Linked DNA regions of Notamacropus eugenii. The protein of the gene in region 1 interacts with the protein of each later gene in a pairwise test. Links are inferred from orthologs where the notes say so. Each region holds a gene or a part of one and is shown in the gene's direction. Other genes may lie near its edges. The genes, in order: CTNND1, ZBTB33 and KCTD6.

What was found.
Region 2: the proteins of CTNND1 (region 1) and ZBTB33 interact in binary tests that used the Homo sapiens proteins (3 or more experiments, as listed by UniProt). The link is inferred for Notamacropus eugenii from reciprocal best matches to the Homo sapiens genes CTNND1 and ZBTB33.
Region 3: the proteins of CTNND1 (region 1) and KCTD6 interact in binary tests that used the Homo sapiens proteins (3 or more experiments, as listed by UniProt). The two-hybrid records come from large-scale screens. The link is inferred for Notamacropus eugenii from reciprocal best matches to the Homo sapiens genes CTNND1 and KCTD6.

The regions. Positions count from the first base shown.
Region 1 is NC_092873.1:3,341,958-3,349,021, forward strand, and holds the start of CTNND1 (catenin delta-1), read left to right. Parts: upstream 1-4,042; 5' UTR 4,043-4,170; exon of another isoform or gene 4,171-4,275; intron 4,276-4,467; exon of another isoform or gene 4,468-4,537; intron 4,538-7,064. UniProt on the Homo sapiens protein: Key regulator of cell-cell adhesion that associates with and regulates the cell adhesion properties of both C-, E- and N-cadherins, being critical for their surface stability.
Region 2 is NC_092879.1:43,638,474-43,646,499, forward strand, and holds the start of ZBTB33 (transcriptional regulator Kaiso), read left to right. Parts: upstream 1-4,964; 5' UTR 4,965-5,094; intron 5,095-8,026. UniProt on the Homo sapiens protein: Transcriptional regulator with bimodal DNA-binding specificity.
Region 3 is NC_092874.1:466,814,807-466,822,149, reverse strand, and holds the start of KCTD6 (BTB/POZ domain-containing protein KCTD6), read left to right. Parts: upstream 1-4,252; 5' UTR 4,253-4,367; intron 4,368-7,343. UniProt on the Homo sapiens protein: Probable substrate-specific adapter of a BCR (BTB-CUL3-RBX1) E3 ubiquitin-protein ligase complex mediating the ubiquitination and subsequent proteasomal degradation of target proteins.

The DNA.
Region 1 (7,064 bases):
TCTGACATTCTGTGATTCTGTCTCCTGCAGTGTGGCTGAAACCGAAAAAGGCTGATCCAGGCATCCCCAGGGGTGCGGCTTCACTGGAGGAGGACTGCTGATAGAAAAGGGAGATGTCCAGAGATCAAAGCACCAGGGTGAGTATGTAGGGCAGAATGGAAAAGGGAACAAGGTGGAAATAGAAAAGGAATTAGAATGGGAGGCAGCTTGCTTGAATTGGAATTTTAATTAAATTTTTAAAAAAGGAAGTACTTGCTGCTAAGTGCTGGAGATATAAATATAAAATTAAAATATAAATATATATAAATGTAAAATATATATAAGCGAGCAAGCTCTCGGTCCTCCAAGAGTCGATAGAAGAAGACAGTACACACAGAGGACTGTGTGGCCCCAGAGGGGTTTTCTGATGACTGGCAGGTGCTCTGAGGAATGGTAATATTGATTTAATTGCTGTGATTACTGCTCTTTTATGACTTATCTATATTTGAATCTTATAACCTTAGACACCTTGCTTTGTCTAGGCCTCAGTTTCCTCATTTGTAAAAGGAAGTTAGTAACCTTATGGCCTCTAAGTGCTCCAGATAAAAAGGAAATGTTTAAAAAAAATAAAAATACAGTACAATATAATGTTAATTTGTGGTTTTCAAAATCAATATACACCCCACAGGGATCCTGCTCGAGTTTAACACCGTTGGACTAGATGATCTCTAAAGTCTCTTCCATTGTGTAATCAATATTTTCAAAAATTTCTCCAAATTGAGAATATCAATCTGAGAAGAGTTTGGTTTTTTTTTGAGGAAGCAGGAAAATTGAGAGGAAATAGAACAGAAGGAGGATGGATTTAGATGGAGCCAGCAGGAAAAAACAGACATAAGACAGAACCCTAAATGTTTATAATGTCTCACTGTAGTATCCCTAGATGATTCAGACAGTGGCATTCCAGTGACGAGATAGGGTTGAAATTTGAACAAAGATTAAGATTATCTTTGCTTTATCTTCTTGGAAACGTTACTATGAGGGCAAAGCGAAGTACCAAGAATTATAACAGTCATCTTTTATACTTTTATCCTAGCTAGCATAACTACAGTTTCATCCCGGGTCAGCAGAATTTTTAAAGGAAATGGCACATCATAGCCCTTCTCAGGATCTCAAAAATCATACGTTTTAGGTGATATCTAGTAACCAAAAGGGCATTTTTTGTGTGTATGTATTTATCCAATGCTTTCTTCAGATTGAATGTTTGTTAATCTCTACTTCTTGCTATTAATCTCTTTAATGTAGATTTCCAGAGTTGGCTAATATAGTATAGTTGTTTATATGCAGATGAATAGATGGTGATTTTATTTTATTTGTTTTATTTTATTTTTATCAGTCCTTTCTCTACTTTTAAAATTTCTTCCTAATCTTTACTTCACCAATTTAAATCATCATTCTGTGTACCTGTTGGTGATGGTTCTGTAAGCCTTAGAGAGTTTTGAAGTTGAATGAAAAATATATTCTGTGTATTTTTAAGACTCAAGCAGAGAATTTGTATGTGCTCGTAATACAACTTTGATTCTTTTTGTATTTAATCCAGTTCAGCAGATATTAGGCACCTGCTATATGCGATGAACCTGGTCTAAAAGACCAAAAGAAAAAAGAGTTTACATTCTTTTGGGGGAATAAAACATGTATATAGATGAAGAAATAGAAGATATTATGAAGCAGCCTCCCACCCCTCATTCTTTTCTAATTTAATATAGAGGTGGTTTCCACTCAGTGCTTAGCAATCTTTATTTAGAAGTGCAGGTTAGATACATTTAATTAAATTTTTTTGTTACCGTGTTTATTTGGTGATCTGTTATGTGTCTTTATTTTAATGTTATTTACAAATTCATGAATGTCCTCTTCATTCTCTGCAGATTAACTTGGAAATTTCAAATAAAGCCACTTTTAAACAGATTTCTTTGTTATGCACTTTCATGAGACAGCCCTCAGTTCATGTGACCTCTTCTATCTGAGCTAATCTGAAGCAGTTTTTTAAGTACAGTAATATACGGTGTCATATCCTGTTTTCCTTTAAATATTTTCTGTTTTCTCCAGGCAGCCGTCTTGGTCTAGTAGGATATCAGTGAATCATTCAAGTAACATTTATTGCTTATTATGTGCAATGTATTGTGATTATCAATTCTTAATGCTGTTTATCGATTGCCATTTCACTATGTTTTAGATTTGTACATTTCTTTCTCAGGAGACAACCAGAAGTATTAGTTTGGGAATCTTAAGAATCTGGATTTTAAGGATGCTCTGTCACTTAAAGAATTTGTGACCTTGAGCAGTTCACTTCACTTTACTAACTTAGCTTCAATTTTCTCTTTCATAAAATAAAAGTGCCCTAGAATGATCTCTAAGGTCTCCTTAGCTCTCAGTCCTATGTTCCTTTATCTAACGAAATCCTCATACTGTTCTTTTCAAACCTATCCAAGTCGTCATTCCTTTCTGTCATGCTTTTTTCCCCATTCCTGTAAAAAAAATCTTAGGCCCAGGCATTTCACACTATGGGACTAGGTTTAATATTCGTGTGTTGGTTCTATTATACAGGGTTCAAAGAGCAATATGGCATAGTTAGGAATGCTTTGTGAAAGAGGTGGGGCCTAACTCTTGAATTGGTTCTTGACAGATGGTTGGGATTTAGAGTGTCTGAGAAGAAGGAAGAAAAAATTAGTTTAGGGAAATATCCAGTCTAGCCGTGGGAGCCGAAATGATTGAGGGGCTGTTCTAGGAATAGTGACAAGATTAACCTTCCTGGCAGGGCGGGTTCTTGCCTGGGATCTATGAGATAAACTTGGGCAGGTAGGGTGGGGTGAGATTGTGAAGGGCTGGGCCCACGGTAATGCACTTTGTCCCCTAGGGTGCTGCTAAAAGATTTTACCGGGTGGGGAGAAATCTGACGAGAAAACCTGTATTGAAAGTAGAATTAATCTGAAATTGTCAGTTATTGTTCGCAGATATTGGGATTTTTTTTTCCTTTCAGAATGAAAAGGAAGTTTTCAACTCACATAACTTAATATTCAGTGAATATTAAATTCTGTGTGCTGGATTCTATACCAGAAACTTAACAACCCCTGCCCTTTAGGACCTGACATTTTAAGAGCGTCATTTATGCTAGACATATCAATATGTTTAAAAAAAAAAGGAATGTAAACAGTTTTTTGTGTAGTCCAGTGTGAGATAAACTAGCAATCATGAGGCCAACTCTGCCAACAGTTCCAAAAAACATATACTGTTATCTTTCTGAGATTTTCTCAGTTGATTTATCTGGGTAGTTTTTTAGTCTACATCACTTGTCCTTCTATATTCTGTATGGTTCACACATTTTTTGATTGGAAGAACAAAGACCGATTATACTAAAGAAACTATTCAGCCCAGGAATCAGTTTCAATTTTAAAAAATTAAAACAATGGAATTGAGATTTACCTCAAAGAAGACCCCTCCCAGTCTCCCCATAAATGGATTAAGTACAGTCTCATTCTTTCTCCCTCCCCCATAGTTAATAACAAAAAAAAAATCGATATATAAATCGACAGCTTATTTATTTATTATTATTTATTGACAGATGCCTGGACATCCCCTACAATCTGAAAGCAGGGGGAAAGGGTTTGAGGAGACATACGCAAAATCCTCAACAGTCCCATCCTCAAAGAGAACTCAGGAAATAGCTTAAGCTTTTTTCTATGCAATGATTTTTTTAAAAACTCAAAAAACTAAACACTTTTTTTCCATTCAGGCTCAGCCCTTGCCATACTTCCTCTAGGATTGTATATCCTTTGCTTTTGCAATATACATGTAGATATACATATTATATATATGCATATGTATTTTTAAAAGTTCTGTGTCTTTTTCTGTCTCTCTCTTTTTTTTTTTTTTTTTCTAATTCCTATAATAAAGTTTCCTATTGGATAAGGTCAGCTCCCTGATTTATGCCAGGTTTCTATTGGAAGTGCTCAAAGGCTGACATCACTTAGGAAAGCGAGGGGGTAGGGCTGGCAGACCAGTTTGTCACCACCCAGCCTCCCTTGCCTTTGGCTGGGTGCAACTTCCATTTTAGGTGTTGGATCTGAGAGGAAAGAAAAAAAAAGAAGAGGGAGAGAAGGAAAGAAAGAAGAGGAACGAGCCGTAAAGGAGAAAGAGGTGGAGAAAAATTAATACACTATTGTCCTTGTCTTTTTCGGCAGTACTGGCAAGGATTGGGGTTCCTTTTTGTAAAGGATTGTTTTTTAGAAGTCTGCAAACGAGGTGTGTGTCTGTGTCTGTGTAATGTGTCCAGAGGAGGGGAATGATAGGCTATCTAGTTGAATTTTTAATTTTTGCTAACTAGAGGGATTTTCAAAAGGTGCTGGATGTTTGGGAGAAATTCAGCTAGGCTGGCTAATTTTAAAACATTTTTTTCCTCTCAATTTTTGCTACTTTTAATTTTATTTTTCAAAGCAAAACAGCAAGGAGAAGGAAAAACTTCTGGGTCTCCAGCGCTGGGAGCTAGTTGAGCAGCTCCTGAGGGGTAAGAGCAGTCCTGTGAATTTGTCTGCTGGTGTACTTTCTGACTGTTCATTGCTTTCTAGGTCTAAGTGAACATATTTACATAACCTTTGGTAACAAAATTCTCAAAGTTGGGTTTTGGTGTATTGTGTGGGTTGAGACAGGAATTTGTCTTCAGGTCGAAAGCTGGTTTCGTAGATGGCTTTTCATATGTTTTAAAACTTATTTTACTTTTTGCCCTGTTTGTGGACGTGGAAAGTTGCAAGGAGATTTGCAGCTTAAGCTGTGGTAGTGGCTTCCCACTCCTCTCCCCCCGCTCCCCACCCAAGAGTGTGATTAAACTCCCGTACTCTGTTTCAGCCTCATGTTCCTGGGTGGATCCCGTTTTTTTACTTTTCCAGGTGCAGTGGGTGGGAGCCTCTTTCTCTTGTACTGGCCCTGCTGCCTTGCCTTTTAAAAGAAAACAAATGGATTCTCATGGACTACATTTCCCTTTTCTTAAAACTACCTTAAGTTGATAAGACTTTCACCCCTACTTCCGAAAATCTGCAAAAACTGTTACGAGAGTTTTGGAATTAGGAGGTCTTTTAGTTTACTTGAGTGAAGGAGAAAAATAGTTTAGAAATGATCTTAGCTTTTTATTTATTTAGAAATGAGAGGTTAGACAAGGTGAACAGAAAACTGTTACACACTTGAATTTCCAATTCATTTGATGAATTTTAAGAGGAAAAATATTTTTAAAAAACTGAAGTTTAGTTTTGTAGGTGAGTAGATTTTTAGTTGATTTCCTAAAAGATCAGAACTTTCGTAGCATTGTAGGCCACTGACTTTCCCCTCCCTTGTTTTAAATCTTTTTTATTTGTGAAGTACTTTTTTATATGTACTTCAACAAAATTTTAGATGATCATGTAGTCAGATCATTAGCTAAAGACTTAGACTTCCTCTTCTCCCTTTGCCCTTTTAACAATCAGAGCTACTCTAAAAACTATACATGCAATTATATTCTTGACCTAATTGCAACAAGATGGGCCTTAATTTAGTGGCCTTTAGTACCTAAACTATCATACCTTTAAAAGTTCCATGTATGTTTATTTCCTTCCCTTTTTAATTAGAAAACTTCCCTGAAAATGTTTTTGCATGCAAAACTGGAGTGTTGAGGGAGTTACTTGCTTTAGGGGTTTCAAAATAAAATGGAATTTCTTCTTTATGCCAGGACCAAAGTGGAGTGGTTCCTATAAGCCTTATCAATTCTTTCTTCCTTGACTCTGCAGTCTAAATTTAAAAAGAAAGGATGGCACATTTATGGGGAATATCCTAGGAGATGATTGATTCAGCCCTTTCGACTGTGTCTTTATTTGAATAGGGCTAGAAGAATTTGGACGCTATTCATCTCCCTTTTTCTGCCTTGGCTTCAGCCTGAGGTTCTAAATACATTTTTGGATGACTGATCAGAATTGCTAGTTGACCCATTATCCCTCTAAACCTTTAAGTGGGTATCTGTTGAGAAAGATTACAAAGACATTTTGAAAATGGAAAATAGGCTTTTGAAGACTGGGTAGTGGTGATTGGTGGATGGACACCGCACAGTGATGGTAGGATCCAAGTAAGTATCTGGAATAGAGGTTCTTAACATTTTTTGTGCTATGGGACCCCTTTGGCAATCTGATAAAGCCTATTGACTTCCTCAGCATAATTTTAAAAATTAATAATTGAAGGAAATGCCAATTTTAGTTAGACATTAGTAAAAACAGAACTTTTCCCCCAGAGACCCCCCTCCCCCCGCCTTGAAATATATTCTTTGGTCCATGGACCCCAGATTAAGAAATCTCTGGTCCAGAGTTAGTGGAGGCAGCTCTAGATGTTGTCATTGGCCTGTTTTAGATGAGGAAGCAGACTTGTCTTCTGTCTCCTATATTCAAGAATTGTAGGAGGTTTGGAACTCCAGAGAAGGGTACCGTCGGGTTCCTCTTTTGGAAGTGAGGGGAATGCCCTCCAGTTTGAGCGGTAGGCTAAGTAGGCATATTTTTATGTTTTGTTTTCACCTTTGTATTAATGGTCCATTTGATAAGTGATCCAGTGACCTTTGTTCTTGTGAAATCTCCTAGAAGGCAGGGTATTGTCAGGCTTCTATTTTTTCTAGCAGTGTTGGAACTGAATTGGGGGTAAATCCCATAATTGTATTTTCTTAGGCCATAGAGAAATGGAATTATAAAATTTGCCTTTATCTGACATGGAATTTAGAGTTTCTACTACCAGTTCCAAGTAGTTAAAATTAAAACCTGGTTGTCCTATTCCCTGAAGAGATGTAGGTGACAGTCTTGTGAATGTAACTAGTCTTTCAAAAGAGAAGATAGAATAGATGGAAAGAAATGGACCTCTACGGGCTCATTAAGAGACTTTGTGTTGCCCTGAAGAAATCATTATATCCTTCTTCTGGTAGCAGGTTCCCCTTTTACTTCCATTTCCCAGGCCAAGACTGCTGCCATTTCTAGGGGGTAGTTTAAAAAAAACAAACAAACCCTAGTAAATGGCACAATGTTTTCATCTTG
Region 2 (8,026 bases), on another chromosome or scaffold:
GGGATCTCCTCGCAGCAAGTCATACAGCGGGTACAGATCACCATCGGGAATAGGGATAACTGCCCGCATCCACTGTATAGCGCCAATCAGCTTTTGAAAATCATTGAGAGTGGAGGGCTGAGAGAGATCAATGCTCGGAGGACGGCGAGCAATTCGCCCTTGTTTTAGTTCATAACCAAGATACTGAAAAGGGGGTGTGGTCTGTACTTTGTCTGGAGCCACAGTCAGCCCGTGGGCAGCTAAGGTATCAATCATAAGCTGAGTAAGGGCCATTGTGGAATCATGGCTAGGCGTAGCAACAAGAATGTCATCCATATAATGAATGATAATGGCCTTGGGGAAGCGCTGTCTAAGTGGAGAGAGGATAGCATGGACATACATTTGGCACATGGTAGGGCTATTTGCCATCCCTTGAGGGAGCACGGTAAAATGATACCGTTCATATGGTTGCTGGCGATTTTCCGAAGGGATGGAAAAGGCAAATTTGATCCTATCTTGTGGGTGTAGGGGAATGCTATAGAAACAATCTTTGATATCAATGATTGTCATAGTAAAATCTCGGGGGATCGCAGCAGGAGTGGGGAGACCGGGCTGTAGTGCCCCCATAGGCAGCATGCATTTGTTAATCTCTCTAATGTCTATGAGCATGCGCCAGGATCCAATTTTCTTCTTTATAACAAAAACAGGAGAATTATAAGGGCTCGTGGTGGGCTCAATGCGGTCCTGTTTCAAAAGGGAGGCCACTATGGAACGTAAGGCGGTGAGCTTTTGGGGGGATAGGGGCCACTGTTCAACCCACACAGGGGTCTCAGTTTTCCATGTTATAGGCGGGCTGCTCACCATTATGGTGGCCCCAGCATGTTTAACTGAAGGTGTTCTGGAGTGGTAAGGTGTAACCCAAGTTGCTGGAGGAGGTCGCGCCCCCAAAGGGCGTAAGCAAGACCGGCCAATTTTAAGGGTCTAAAATATCCCTGATAATCCTCAAAGGTCCAACTCAAATGTTTAGCAGCCCGTAGCGCTGAACTAGCACCCCCTACTCCAGCAACCGGGGTAGCACCGCCGCTCACCGCCCAACTGGGGTCCCATTGGGATGCATTAATAACTGACACATCTGCTCCAGTATTGAGCAGACCCATGATTGGACGCCCTTCAACCAGAATCTGTATCATGGGGCGATTGCCTACAATGGGAGAGCACCAATTAATTTGATGGGTGTTCTGCTCAGGCTCTTCAATCCAAGGCAGGGAGATGCCCCTCCCAACGGGAGTCCCTGGGGCAATATTTATAGGATAACAATGCGGATTAGTCAAATAAATCGTGGAGGACCCGCTGGACAACAATTGAGTATGGACTATGAATGGCACATAGCCGGAGGGTCCCACCACCAAGCGGGGAAAGGGAGTGGGGGGCACATCAATCCCTTCAGTATGCCAAGGCCTTATAACTAAATCAGTGTCTGAGGGATCCGTGGCAGATGTGCATACTAAGGTTGTAATTTTTGAAGGGCTTGTTGGTACTGCTCACGAAATCAGTAGGGGACTCGCTAGCCCTCTGCTTTAACCCTACCAACTTATCCCTCATAGTCCCTGGGGCGTCAATCTTGGCAAAGCCCCTAATATGACAATACTGTACTGCAGCCATCACCTGGGGGTCGAATTGGAGCTGGTCAACAAGCTGCGAGTATGGCCCCGCCCCTGTTATCATATTCACAGCATCCTCTGTCCCTGCAATATTGTGTTCCTTGACATATCTGAGCGCCTCTCGTCTAACGGCAGTGCCATAGGCCACTACCTGCCCTGGTGTAAGAATAGCCCCCGATACCTCCCTCCAATCAGCTGGGGCCCATGGCCAAGTGGCTGTGGCATTTGCAAGGAGATGTTTCACATAAGGTGACAAAGGGCCGTATTTGGAGACGGCCTCCTTCAGTTCTTTCAATAATTTGAAGGGCACCGGTCGATGTAAACGGTTCTCATTTCCCATCAGATCCCGCTCCACTATGACAGGGTAAGCGCCTGCCCCCTCCCACTCCTCTAAATCTACCTCCTGTCCCTCCGCCAAAGCTGCGGATAGGCTCTGAGTGAGTACGCTCAGAGGCTCCGAGGGCCCAGACCGCCCGTAGGTAAATGACCGCGATCCTTGTGATGATTGTGACAAGGACATGGCGGCTGGGGGGAAGGAGAAGGCATTAGGTCCGATCTCAGAAGGATTGGGAGTTCCTAAACTCTGTTGAAACTTCTTGCGAATTCCTCTGCCCTCTTTTGTTGTTCCAGGGACTTTCCATTCTTTCTTAAGGGTTCCTTCTGACGAGCCCTTTGTCTCGGGGACTTTCCAGGGGACTTTCCACTCCCTCTTGGGCGTTCCTTCCTCATCAAACTTCCCTTTTGTTCCTCCCCTCGGGGCTCTAGAGTCCCGCCCCTTGCTCAGCCGTGCGCCGTCTTGAAGGGCGCGGTCCTGGTCCCTGCCTGCACATTCTCTTAACATACCCCATAGATATAAGGGCTGGGGCTCAGTATTATCCTCATCGGATTCCCCTTCTTCTTCTGTCGTCCCTTGAAGGGACTGCCCTGTTTGGGTCTCGCCGTTGGACCACCCGGGGGGACGGGGATCCGAACGCAGAAGCGTGGCGACCACTTGAAAGAACGTAAAGTCCTCCTCTGTTAGTACGCCAGGGCTCTCTTTCTCATAGGCGACCATCTGCTGTCCCACTACGCCCCATTTGGCTGGGTGTAGCCCACAATATTCTAACCAAGGGGAAACATCCCAGATCTTTTCCACAAATGCTCTACAGTCCCGGATGTGGGGCTTAAGCCCATGGGTCTTACAAAGCTTATACAACTGACAGGCAAGCACTCCCTTATCTTCGGGCTTCAGGTTGGGAAAACTATTTCCCTGGCCCATCCTGGCCACTTCCCAATACTGAGACTGCCTGAATCTTCCCGCAGTAGCGGGTCAAGGCCACTTCTCAATACTGAGGCTGCCTGAATCTTCCCGCAGTAGCGGGGCAAAGGCGGATTCTCCTCTCCTTACGGCGGTCCCACGTCGGGCGCCAGCTGCCCGGGGTTTACACCCGGGCCTTTGCCTCTCCAATTACCGATACCTGGTCTTCGGACGTCTCCGGCCCCTCTCCCGGTTGGGGGAGGGCAATAAACAGGCAGAGCACCCGAAAGGAGTTGCAGTCAGCAAGCTTTATTGCATTTCTTCCCCTTCTCCTTCTCCTTCTAAGCCCTTGTGATCATCCCCTTTTATTATCCCTGTCTCCTCCCCTGTACCTCCCATGGGCGGGCGAGCTCCTCCCAAGTGCCTCCCTGCGGGTGGAGCCAGCCTGTTACCAGGGCCATCCCAGTACCCCACAAGGGGGCAGGTTCGGACCCTCAGGCGTCTCACGGTCCTCACGGGGGACCCTGGTCCAGAGCTGTCCCCCAACACTTCTAGTTGGAACTAGGTGTTTTTAGGAAATTTTTTTTAGTCAATCAACAAGCAAGGTGCTTAATGGGCTGCTAGGTGGCGCTGCACTAAATAGAGAGCCAGGAAGATTCAGGTTCTTGAGTTCAAATCTGGTTTCAGACACTTCCTAGCTGTGTGACCCTGGGCAAATCACTTCACCCTGTTTGCCTCAGTTTCCTCATCTGTAAAATGAACAGGAGAAGGAAAAGCAACATCTTTACCAAGAAAACACTAAATAGGGTCACTGAAGAGTCCTTCACAACTGAAAACGACTGAGCAATAACAATGGTGCTTAATCCTTGGCATTGTGCCAATAACTGAGGCTACAAAGACAAAAGACAGCCCCTGCTCTCAAGGAGCTCACGGTCTAATGGAGATGACACCCATCTAAAACCATGTAAACTGAATTTAGAACCAGACCTTCAAAATCGCTGTTATCCGAAAGTATTAAACCAAGATTTTTAGAAATAATAAAGCAATCACGTGGCTGTCAGTAACATCATCACCAATCATTATTACGAACAATAATAAGAGATGTTTTAGGGAGGGCCAAGAGGTTTTTTCCCCCCATTTCTTTATGGTGTTTATGAAGATATTTAAAATATAACCTACAGCATCTTTTCTTTGTTGTATGTTTTATAATGCACAGTTATTTCTAAATATACCAAATAAAGCACTTCTTCAAAAATAAAATAAACTTTTAAAAAGGCAAAATTGATATAGTGTGGGAATGCATGCCTAACTTTTTTTTTTTTTTTTAATGACTGCACCATTCAAAAAGTTTATGACCAGTGCACCCCTAGCTCTCGCTGAACTCTAAGGAGACCCGGTTGCTTTCTAGTTGGTGCTTCCCGCCCGTAGGGAAGGAGCTGCAAGTAGCAAAAGGCGCGCTCCCCCCCCCCACCCCCCGCCCCGTCCCCGCTGAGGAGCTGAGCGGCCCCGCCCTTGCGGAAAGCGGGGAGCCGGGAGCGAACATTTCCCTCCCTTTCGGAAGGAGGGAAAAGGAGCCCACGGCTCCCCGCCCTCTGGCCCGGCCCAGTCTCAGGAAAGAGGGAACGGCTCCCTCCAGTTGGGCGGGGGCTGAGCCCACCCCTCTCCAGCGCCCTCCCCCTCTTTCCGAGAGTAGCCGAAGGGAGCCGAGCGTTCCCACTCCATCCCGGAAGGGGCCGCCGGGAGCGCCCCCCTCACCCCGCCCCGGAAGGAGCCCCTGAGAGCCTGGCGCCCCCCCTCGCCGAAGCCGCCCTCGCCCCAGGAGCACCAGGCACAAGCGCCCCGAGTCTGCGGAGAAGGTCGGCCCGGCGGGAAGCGCTTCCGGAAGGAGAGCCGGCCGCCAGCGTGAGCCCGCGGAAGGAGGCAGCCATTGGCTCCCGGGGCCCCCGGCGCCCCGCGCACACCGCCCCCTGCCGGCTCTCGGAGCGGCAGCAGCACAGGCGAGGCTGGCTCCGGCGGCGGCGGAGGCGAAGGTAGCGGCGGTGGAGGCGGCAGCGGCGGCGGCGGCAGCTCCCGAGCCCGAGCAGCAGGCGGAGGGCTGGCAGCGGGGCTTCGGCCTTCCCGTGGCACGAGAGGACGAGGAGCCGGAGCCAAGCGGCAGCAGCGGCGGCGGCAGCAGCGGCGGCGGCGGACGCGGAGCCCGCGGCCCTTGGGGACCAGGTGAGGAAGGGCTGAGCTGAGAGGGGCTCGCCCGCCCGGGCTGGGCCGGTGGCCCCTCGCACAAACCAGGAAGCGACAGCTCTGCGCCTCGGGATTTTCCTTTGTGCGGGGAGGGGGGTGCTCCTCCCGCCCGGAGCCGGGGCGGGGGGCCTCGGGGAGGGGAGGGGGTTGCTGTGTGCCGGACGCGGCTGCCGGATGGACAGGTTTCTCTGCGCCTAGGCCCGGGGCCAGACAAGAGGGAGCCTTCCGACTGTGGCTCCTTCTTTCTCCCGCTTCCCCCTGGCGTAATCCGCGCTTCTTCCCCCCCTCCCCCCTTTCCCCTCCCCTGCTCGCCCCTTCGGGCCACTTCCCGGGCCGTAACAATGCCGCCTGCTTTCCTGTCTCCCTCCCTCCCTCTCTCAATCACCAGCAATCTGCTCTCCCTCGACCACTCTTTCCACTCTATTCACTAGCTTGTACTTTTCTCTATATGTGCCTGATCTTGGATCCCTCCCCCAGCCCTCGGTCCCCCCTAACCTCCCCCCACCCCATGTCCCCCACCTTGCACCGGTAGCTGGTGTGAGACTTTTCCTCCAGAAGGAAAACGCAGGTTGCAAACCCTGCTTTCAACCTACTGGCCTCAGAGGGTAGGGGATGGAGGGGTGGTGGGGGTGGGAGAGCAGGTGGAGGAAGGGAGACAGGTTTCAGCTGCTGCAGTGATCTCCTGTATTTGATTCCCCATATCTAATCCTGTGTTATTTCCTCTCTACACCCCCTCCTCCATCACCTCTGCTTTCCCCCCCTCCCCCCCCAGCGAGAAGGTTGGTTACAAAATGGTTGTGCGGCAGGGATTTTCCACAAAGTCTGCTTGTAGATCCTCAATTTCTCAACCCAAGAAAAACAAACAAATGGAACTCCACCAACTTGCTGGGTTTCCCGTAAATGTCAATTTTCCTTGTTTCCAGTTTAGTAGGACCCCTTTGTGAACCACAGGAAGTCGCAGGGCCTTTTTCGGAAATCCTGCCTACTAAAAAACTGACTACTGTGTTGAAATTCCCACATTTAGGAATCTGAGATTGTTGGCATAAAGCCCAGAAGTCACTCTTTTTCATCTTCTGGATGCCTTTATGTTACTCTGAAACTTTTGGATGTTGGATTAACAAGAAATACTCTACAAAGTAATATCTGTGCCATTTCAGACATGCCAACATTCTGGTGATTTTTGAAAAACTGCACCTTACATCACGTGAATGTTGCTTTAGAACTCTGACGGGAAAGAATATTCATGATGCTAACATTTTTTTCCCTCACAAACCAGTATGATTTATTGATGGTGTTTATCCTGATCTTAGTATATTAATAATTACTAATATTATTATTATAAAAATCTTCAAGTTTTCAAAATGTTTTTGCTGACTAGATATGTCAAGTATAGATGAAGATTTTACTATTTATTGTCTTTGGCCAGACTTTACTCCCTGTTTCTGGGAGATTTTCTGAATTGCCTTCTCATTTCTGCATTTAAAAGTTACAACTTTGATATAGTGGTAGAGAACAAGTCACTCCATGCTTGCATGGTGTGTTCGTTATATTATTTTCTTAGGATTGTAGAATTTATTGACCATCTTGTCCAGAAGTTCCCAAACTTATTTGACCTACTGCCCCCTTTAAAAAAAAAATTACTCAGTGCCCTCTGTAAATCTACTTTCTTTAACCCTTTAACAGTTTTTTAAAAAAATTGTTTCATTTTTTTTGTTTTATTTATATATTTTTAGATTTCGACATTCATTTCCACAAAATTTGGAGTTCCAATTTTTCTCCCCATCTCATCCCTCCCCCCACCCCATAACACCTTGCATTCTGATTACCCCTTCCCTCAATGTACCCTCCCTTCTATCACACCCCACCCTTCCCTTATCCCTCTTCTCTCTTTTCTTGTATGGGGTAAGATAAATTTCTGTACCCCATTACGTGTATTTCTTATTTCCCAGTTATATAAATTCTCAACATTTGTTTCTAATACTTTGAATTCCACCTTCTTTCCCTTCCTCCCTCCCCACCCATCCTTATTGAGAAGGCAAGCAATTCAATACAGGCTATATGTGTGTCATTTTGCAAAAGACTTCCATAATAGTCATGTTGTGTAAGACTAACTATATTTCCCTCCATCTACCCTGTTCCCCCTTTATTCTGTTCTCTCATTTGACCTTCACCCTTCCCTAAAGTGTTTACTTCTAATTACTCCCTTCCCCCATTTACCCTCCCTTCTATCATCCCTCTCACCCCACTTGTCCCCTTCTCCCCTCCTTCCCTGTAGTGTAACATAGATTTTCATACCAGATTGAGTGAGCATGTTATTCCCTCCTTAAGCCAAATGTGATGAGAGTAAGATTCACTTTTTCCCTCTCACCTCCTCCCTTTTCTCCTCCATTGGAAAACATTTTTCTTATCTCTTTTATGAGTTATAAATTGCCCCATTCCATTTCTCCCTTTCTCCTCCCAATATATTCCTCTCTCATCCCTTAATTATATCTCATCCTTTCTGATTCAATTCAACCTGAGCTCTCTCTCTGTATCTGTATGTGTCTATGTGTGTGTGTGTATAATCCTTCCAACTACCCAAATACTGAGAAAAGTCTCAACAGTTACAAATATTATCTTTCCATGTAGGAATGTAAACAGTTCAGCTTTAGAAAGTTCTTTATGTTTTCTCTTTACTGTTTACCCTTTCATGCTTCTCTTGATTCTTATGTTTGAAAGACAGATTTTCTCTTCAGTTCTGGTTTTTTCATCAAGAATGCTGGAAAGTCCTCTATTTCATTGAATGACTATTTTTTCCTCTGAAATATTATACTCAGTTTTGCTGGGTAGGTGATTCTTGGTTTTAATTCTAGTTCCTTTGACTTCTGAAATATCATATTCCAAGCCTTGTGGCCCCTTGATGTAGAAGCTG
Region 3 (7,343 bases), on another chromosome or scaffold:
ACTCAGATTGTGGGAAGCTCAGATGCTCCAGTCTAGATCATGTGATGCCGACAAGGTTCCAGGCTCTAATCCCTTCACCTGAGAAGGAACGGACCAAATGCATAAGCCAAGGACTGAAGCCTGTTCTCAGAACCATGTGACTTTGACTAAAAGACCCAAGGTCTCTCCTCTGCTTATAGCAGAACCTGTCTCTCATCATGATCCAAGGAGTTCAACTAAAGGGGATGAGGTGAAGAGCTTGGACCAAAGCTGACTCAGGCCTTTTTGAAGATTTCCTTAGTCCTAGCTATGAGGCCAATTGGAAAGATTCTTCCTAATCATGTGGTTAGCAGACCAGAACCAGTCACAGAGTGACTAAGCATGTTCAAGTCTCTACATGGCCCTTGCACTACACATCCTTCTGACTCCTCCAGAAGTAGAATCTCTGGCCTCCTGAAAGGGTTAGGGGTCACCGCACCACACTCTAACAACCTTGGATCTATGTCATTGCTTCCAGGAATAAGGAAATCACTGTTCTCTGCCCTGGTCAGACACCATTGGGAATATTGTGTTCATTTCTGGACACCACAGTTTAGGAAGGATTCTAATGAAACTGACACCAAAGGGTGTCCAAATTAGGACTGTGATGGGTCTCGAGTCCTTATCACATGAGAATACATTGGAAAAACTGGGAATGTTTAGTCTGGAGAGGAGCAGAAATAGCGCTCACATGATTATTGACCTCGGGTGCTTGAAGGGATGTCCTGTGGACCTCAGAGTGTCAGGGTCAGGAAGGACCCAAGGGGCCACATAGTCTCGTTGTGCTTGAAAGAGAATGACCTCAACATAGCTTCCAAGTAATCTGCCAGCCTTTGCTTGTAGATCTGCAGGGAGGGAGGGCTCAGTCTCTCCCTGAATAACCTGTTCTTCTCTGTCTTGAATTAGTAGGAAGCTTCTTTCTTCTGCCCGGGAGACCAAGTTGTTTTCTCTGATTTTTTTCACTGTGCTTTCTAGGCCAAAAGAAACGATTACAGTCTCTGGAGAAATGTAGGCAAAGTTCACCCACAGGGTGATAAAAAGGTCCATGGTGGCAGTGAGCATGGCTGGATAGTATAATCAGGAAGGAGAGTCTTCTGTAAAGGACGTCATCGGTGAAATTGGTGACATTTACAATGGCTGGGTTGGTTACCCATGAGGGAGAGCTCATAGGCAGCCAGCATGCTCCATTGACATCCATGCAGTGAATGTCACCAATGTGCTCTTATGCATATGTACCCATGAATGCATGTATACGTGTAGGCATGTATATGCACAAATGGCTATTTGCAATGCATATAATTATGCATGTATATATACTTGCATGAATACACACAAGTCTATATTTGTGTGCATGCACATACTTGTGTACATATGTATACAAGTGTATATTTGTGTGCATGCATGCACACCTATGGATATTTGTGTGCATGAATACATACTGTGATATATAAAAAATTCTAAAGACATAGTTTCTGGGTAATTGCTCATTTTATTAATTATTGCTAGTAGATAATTAATAAAAGGGGTGAGTGGCACTCTTGAATGCCAAAGACCTCTGGTGGCTTCTGGACACTTATATGCCTTTGGAAGAATGGGTGTTCCTGGCAGGCAGCAATCAACTCTGATTGGTTAACAATAATGAACATGATAATGAGAGGTGGACCTATTCTAATGAGGGGCTGGGGGACATGACTGATCACACAGACCTGCCGGAGGAACACAATAATCTGGATTTCACCCAGATTCCACTTTCTTTGTAAGGTTTTCTAGTTGGGTGGGGCAACATTTCCACCTAAAGAAGATGGTCTAGAGGTATAATTTTTGGGGCAAGGTCAGAGGTCTCTTTGAAAGTCTGGACTTTGAAATAGGAAAAAGGAAAAGATTCTGGATTTCCCCAGTAACTGCTTATTTACTCAACACCTATACATCTGTGTGCATGTGTTTTTGTATGTATGTATACACATACACATAGTTTGTGCACATTTATTTACAGGTTTCTTCCCCCATTAAGACTGTGAGCTCTTGGAGGACTATCTTTTGCCCTTTCTTTGTATGCCCAATACTTAGCACAGTGCCTGGCACATAGTAGGTGACTTACACATGCTTGTCGACTTACCTCAACCTGCCATGGTAGTGGGAGCCATTCTCCATCAGTAACATCACGAGTCCCTTCCTTATCTCTTAGCAGGACCCGCTAAGCCTTTGCTCAGGGCTGAGGGTACAAATAGCAGGGGGCCTGCTCTTCCAATAGGGAGGGAGGAAGCCACAGGAGGAGGGGAAACCAGGGTGGACTTTGGGAAGGCACAGGGATGAGGATGGGAGTCTAGGGGGAAGAGACTGATGGGTCCTTTTCAGGAGTGAGGACAAATGGGTAGATTTTCAGAGCTGGGAGGTGGGTGGAGGCAGGGCAGCAAGGGTTGGTGGGGTGGACTGGAAACCTTTCTGGGGTCCGCCTGGACATAGCCTGGTGCATGAATATACTGGCTTCTATCCAATGAATCATTTCTCCTTATTTCTTCACTCCATGAAGTAAACTTTGATGGTGGGAATTTCAGAGCTGAGAGGGTTAAGTCTGGGGGCATGAGATTGTTGAACTGAAATGAGTGTTACAGAATATTTTAAGCATTTCTGACCAAGAGAGGAGGCCCGGGCACAGCTTCTCCCCCATATTCTGGGTATTTATTAGAGAAGATCTAGCCGTCTGCCAGTGAGGAGGTGGGAGCATTTGGTACTGCGGGCATCTTCTGAGAAAAAAGAGCTTCTGGGCCGGCCTTGCCCAGAATCATAACCAATTACATTAGTTCAGCGCGACCAGCTTACCGAAGCACTTGACAGACGTTATCTCATAAGGTCCTCACCACTACCCTGGGAGGTAGGTGCTCTTATTAGCCCCATTTTACAGATAAGGAAACTGAGTCAAGCAAAGTTTCGTGAGCTGCCAGCCCAGGGTCACAAAGCCAGCTGTTGTCCGAGGCAGGATTTGATCTCAGGTCTTGCAGACCTGGTTCAGCCTTCTACATACTCTACCTATTAATGCAGCTGAAATGCCATTATAAGTGCTGCTGTTGGGAGCCCGGGAACCCCCCCCCCCCCCGCCCCCGCGGGAGGCAGGGGCTTCCTGGGGCCTCCTCTTGGCAGTCTGCTCAGCTGTCACATCTGGGCTCGGGCTAAACCTCTAAGGTGTAACCCCAGGTCAACCCGTCAAGCAGGGGCTGAGGCTCCCCTGGGGCTGAGGCTCTATGCCGGGCTGGAGGGCACCCTCTGGCAGGGGTCGGTGGGTGGGGATAGAGAGGTTCCCCCGACGGTATAGAGCCCTAGATTACAGGCTGCCCAGTCCCGAGCGCTCTTTGGAGCGCGGCAGTGACTCCGCCAAGGTCCTACGGAGGGCGGGCAGGCTGGGACTCGGGGTCGGTGGTCTTCTCCCACTCGGCTGAGCCCTGCACTAGCGGGTGCCGCCCGAGGCTCCATCGCAGCCCGTTGGCGAGAGCTGCGATCCTGACCACTGGGCAGCGCGGCCCCCGCCCGCCTGGGGCTTGGGGAGAAGGGCCAGGAACGCGGGGTGCGGGGAGCCTGCGGCGTGAGTGGGGGTGCGTGCGCTGGGCAGTGCGGGGGCAGGAGGCGGAGGGGGGCTGCTGCAGCACGGGGATGAGCCTACCCGGATACCCCCGTTCACACGCGCACCCCCTGCACACACACCCGCACGCGCACCCCCTGCACACACACCCGCACCCCCTGCACACACACCCGCACGCGCACCCCCTGCACACACACCCGCACCCCCTGCACACACACCCGCACCCCCTGCACACACACACGCGTGCACAGTACACACATGTACACACACATGTACACACACACACACACATGTACACACACACACAGGGAGCTCCCACGGCCAGTTCCAGGCCCCGCCCCCACCGCTGTCTCCCAGCCGGGCTGGCTCCCGGCTCCTGGGTCTGGTGCTGGAGGAGGGGAGCGGCGGCGGCGGGGAGGGCTGCGGCGCCGCCAGGATCCGCCAGGGGGCAGCCGAGCGCAGGCGGCCGCCGCTCCTCCCCGCCCTCCCGCTCGCTCTCGCCCGCGCGCTCCCGTCAGGCCCGGCTGAGCCTCGCCGCCCCCGCGGGAGCGCGCCCGCCCTGCCCGTGCCGCGCCCGCGCGCCCCCGCGAACCCCGCGCCCGCGCTCGCTCGGCGGCAGCTCGCTCGGCTGGAGGCGGCGGCGGCGGCGGCGGCGGCGGGAGCAGCGGGAGCGGCGGGAGCGGCGGGAGCGGGAGCGGCGGCGCTGTGTCCCCGGCCCGGCCCGGCCCGGCCCGCCTCCCTCCCGCCCCGGCCCGGCCTGGCCTCGACTGCGGCGGTGAGTGCGGCAGGGGGCTGGGGACCCCCCTCCTACGACCTGGGCAAGCAGGGGGGCCTCGGAGGACCCCTGCCCTCCCCCCAGGAAAGTTGGAGGGGGTCTGGGCTCAGGGGAGGGGCCCCTCAGCGGGGGGCCACGAGGATGCGCCCCCTCCCCTGGAGGCGTGCAGGGACGTGCCGGGGAGACCCCGGCAGGAGCGGGGGGCAGGAGACCCCGGGGGGGCACGTCGAGGGGCGGGGGGGGAAGGAGATTCCCCGGCAGGCGAGCTCCCCAGAGGAGGGGGCTTGTGGAGGAGCGGGGGCAGGAGACCCCCGGGGGGGAGCGCCCCGGAGCAGGCGGGGGTCGGCCGGCGGGGGGGGCGGGATGCGGGGCGGGATGCGGGGCGGGATGCGGGGCGGGTCCCCCCCATCCCGGCCTGGGCGGGCCGGGCCGTGGGACCCGGCGGCCGGTGCCGCAGCCGGTCCGGTCCGAGGCCCCGAGGCTCCCCGGGCCGTGGCCGGTCCGGATCTCTCCCTCAGGACGCTGTGCATCCTGACCAGACGTGCAGACGTCCGGCCGGCCGGCCGCCGGCCTTTTATCCAGCACTTGCGCGTCTTCTTTAACATTCTGGGTACCAGAGGATGGAAAATGAGGCAGGGAGCTGGGCACGGACACGAGGAGCGGGGCCCCGAGGGAGGCCGGCAGCCCGGGTCCGAGCCCCGCTGGCCCCCGGGCCATGGCAGGACAGTCGTTGTGGCTGGCATCGGTGCCAGCTGCCCTTTATGTAGGATGTCCATGATCTTGGGGGTGTAGAACTTTGTATGGTGAGAGTGGGGCCCCCCCAGGGTGGCCCCAGGGCAGCACCGGTGCCCACAAAAGGCAGGGGCCCAGGGGAGGGCCTTCAGGGGGGTGCTAGATCCTGGTGGAGGATCTGTGGTGCCCCTGGACCCAGAGTCTCGCAGGATGAAGAGACCCACCCTCCTGGGTGCTGATCTCTGTTGGCACCTCGGTGAGAGCCTTGAGAGAAGTTCTGAGTGGTTTAAAAGACTGCATTCTCCTTAAGATTGGGGTGACAAGCTAGGCAGCCCTGAGCTGGATTAAGGGTGGGGATGAGAACTCTGTCCAGCATTTTGTGTAGTCACTAATGCAGCAAGTAGGCTTGGACCGCCTATTGCCAGCGAGGCTTCATGGTGTCATGAAACATTAATTAAGTGCCTCATGGCTGCCCTTATTGATCTTCCCTTTTTCAGAGATACTAATTTTCTATCACAAATGCCCAAAATAGAAAAAAAACCCAGTGAGCAGTAGGTTATCAAGAAGTAAAGGCTGGGTGTTTTAAATGAATGAATGAATGAATGAGTGTATAGCTAAAGGAAAGCAGCCTTTTATTTGGGGAGAAGGCCTTGTTCCTTTTAGCATAGCTGAGAAAATTGTTCTTGGGCTAGCTAATAATCCATACAGGTATTTGTATTATGCAGTAAGACCAAGGCATCCACGATTGGGCACCAACCAGTACTAGGTACTGCTTCTGCGAAGTTTTGTGTAAATATAATCACATTGTAATTGTACAAGAACTTGCAATTTAAAGGAATCTGGGGAGGACAGTCATCATCTTCTTTTATCTGGATTTTTCACACTTAGGGTTTGCTTGGCTTCGGACTTCTTTTGTGGAACCACTTTTGCCATAGCAGTCTTCCTGAACAGTATATACTTTGGGCTAGTGGGGCCCCCCCAATTCTGATGAGGCTACCATCTGGAGGTCCCTCTGGGGGACCTTGCAGCCCCTTAGAAGAGCCCGGATGGGGAAAACAGAGGCAGCGCTGCAGTCCCTTACTCCTGGTCTGTTAGCTAGAGAGCTCTGTGGTCCCTCTCTTAACTCAGGCCTTCAGCGTATTACAGAAATTTCATGTAGTGAAGTTATGTACTACATGGAAAGATGATAAAGATGATATGGTACTTAAAAACAGAAACAAACTTCTTACTCACTCCCCTCCCCCCAACCATTTAATCATCATTTTCATATACAGAACTGAAAAGGAAGGAAATCATCCTGTTTCCAAAATGTATTCCCCTAATATCCATGTGCAGCGGGGAGGAAAGGTTGTATTCCTATTTTATCATCAGAGAAATAGAGGTGCCTCAGTGCTGGGAATTAATTTCCTCTCACCCATCAAGTTAGTGATGCTGGAACTAGCCTGTTCTGCTAGACTGCACTGTGGTGATGAATGGCTAAAGAAAAAAGATTTTAAGAATAGTGCCATCTTCACAGTACTGTCTAACAGCTCCCCTGTGGCTTGGAACCAGGAGAGACTGCAAGGACTCCAGACCCATGTCCCATAGCTCTAGGGTGTGACTCAGGGTCACCTCAACTCTTGGAGCCTCAGTAAAAATGCAGGTGATGCTACCAGTGTACCTGCCTGCCTTTCGAGGCTATGGCCAAGATCCCAAGGTCATGTTTGTAAGCTTTGAAGCATGCTTTCTGTGGGGCAGCATAGTAGTGAGTGGATGGTCAGCAGGTCTCACAGCCAGAAGGACTTTGGCTCGAGAGCTGTCACTGCCACGTGGATGTCCCTTCACCTAGCCTTGTGCCACGATAGCTCTCTGACACTAAGGTACAGAGAAGGGACTGAACTTCATGAGGGGAGGGAGTGTCCACACCTGGGAGTTCCTTATACCAATGAAATCACAAGCCAGTTCCTATTGTTATAAATATAAAAACATTCCCCCCCACCCCAAGATGCAGTGGCTGCCTGTGCTAGCTTGTATGTTAACCTGAAGGACTCTTTAGATTTCTCTGAACTAGTTGCTATAAAAAGTATTCTACTTTTAAACTCCCACATGGTTCTATAACTGAGAAACTGAGTACAGAGGTAATTTTGAAGGTATGTGCAGATGTTGGAAATTTATTCTTGTCTTGTGTTTCTAAATGCCAGAAGCAGGGACTTTAGTAGAATGGCATTTTAAGTCTGTCTGGAAATTCTGTGAAGGTAGTCGTTA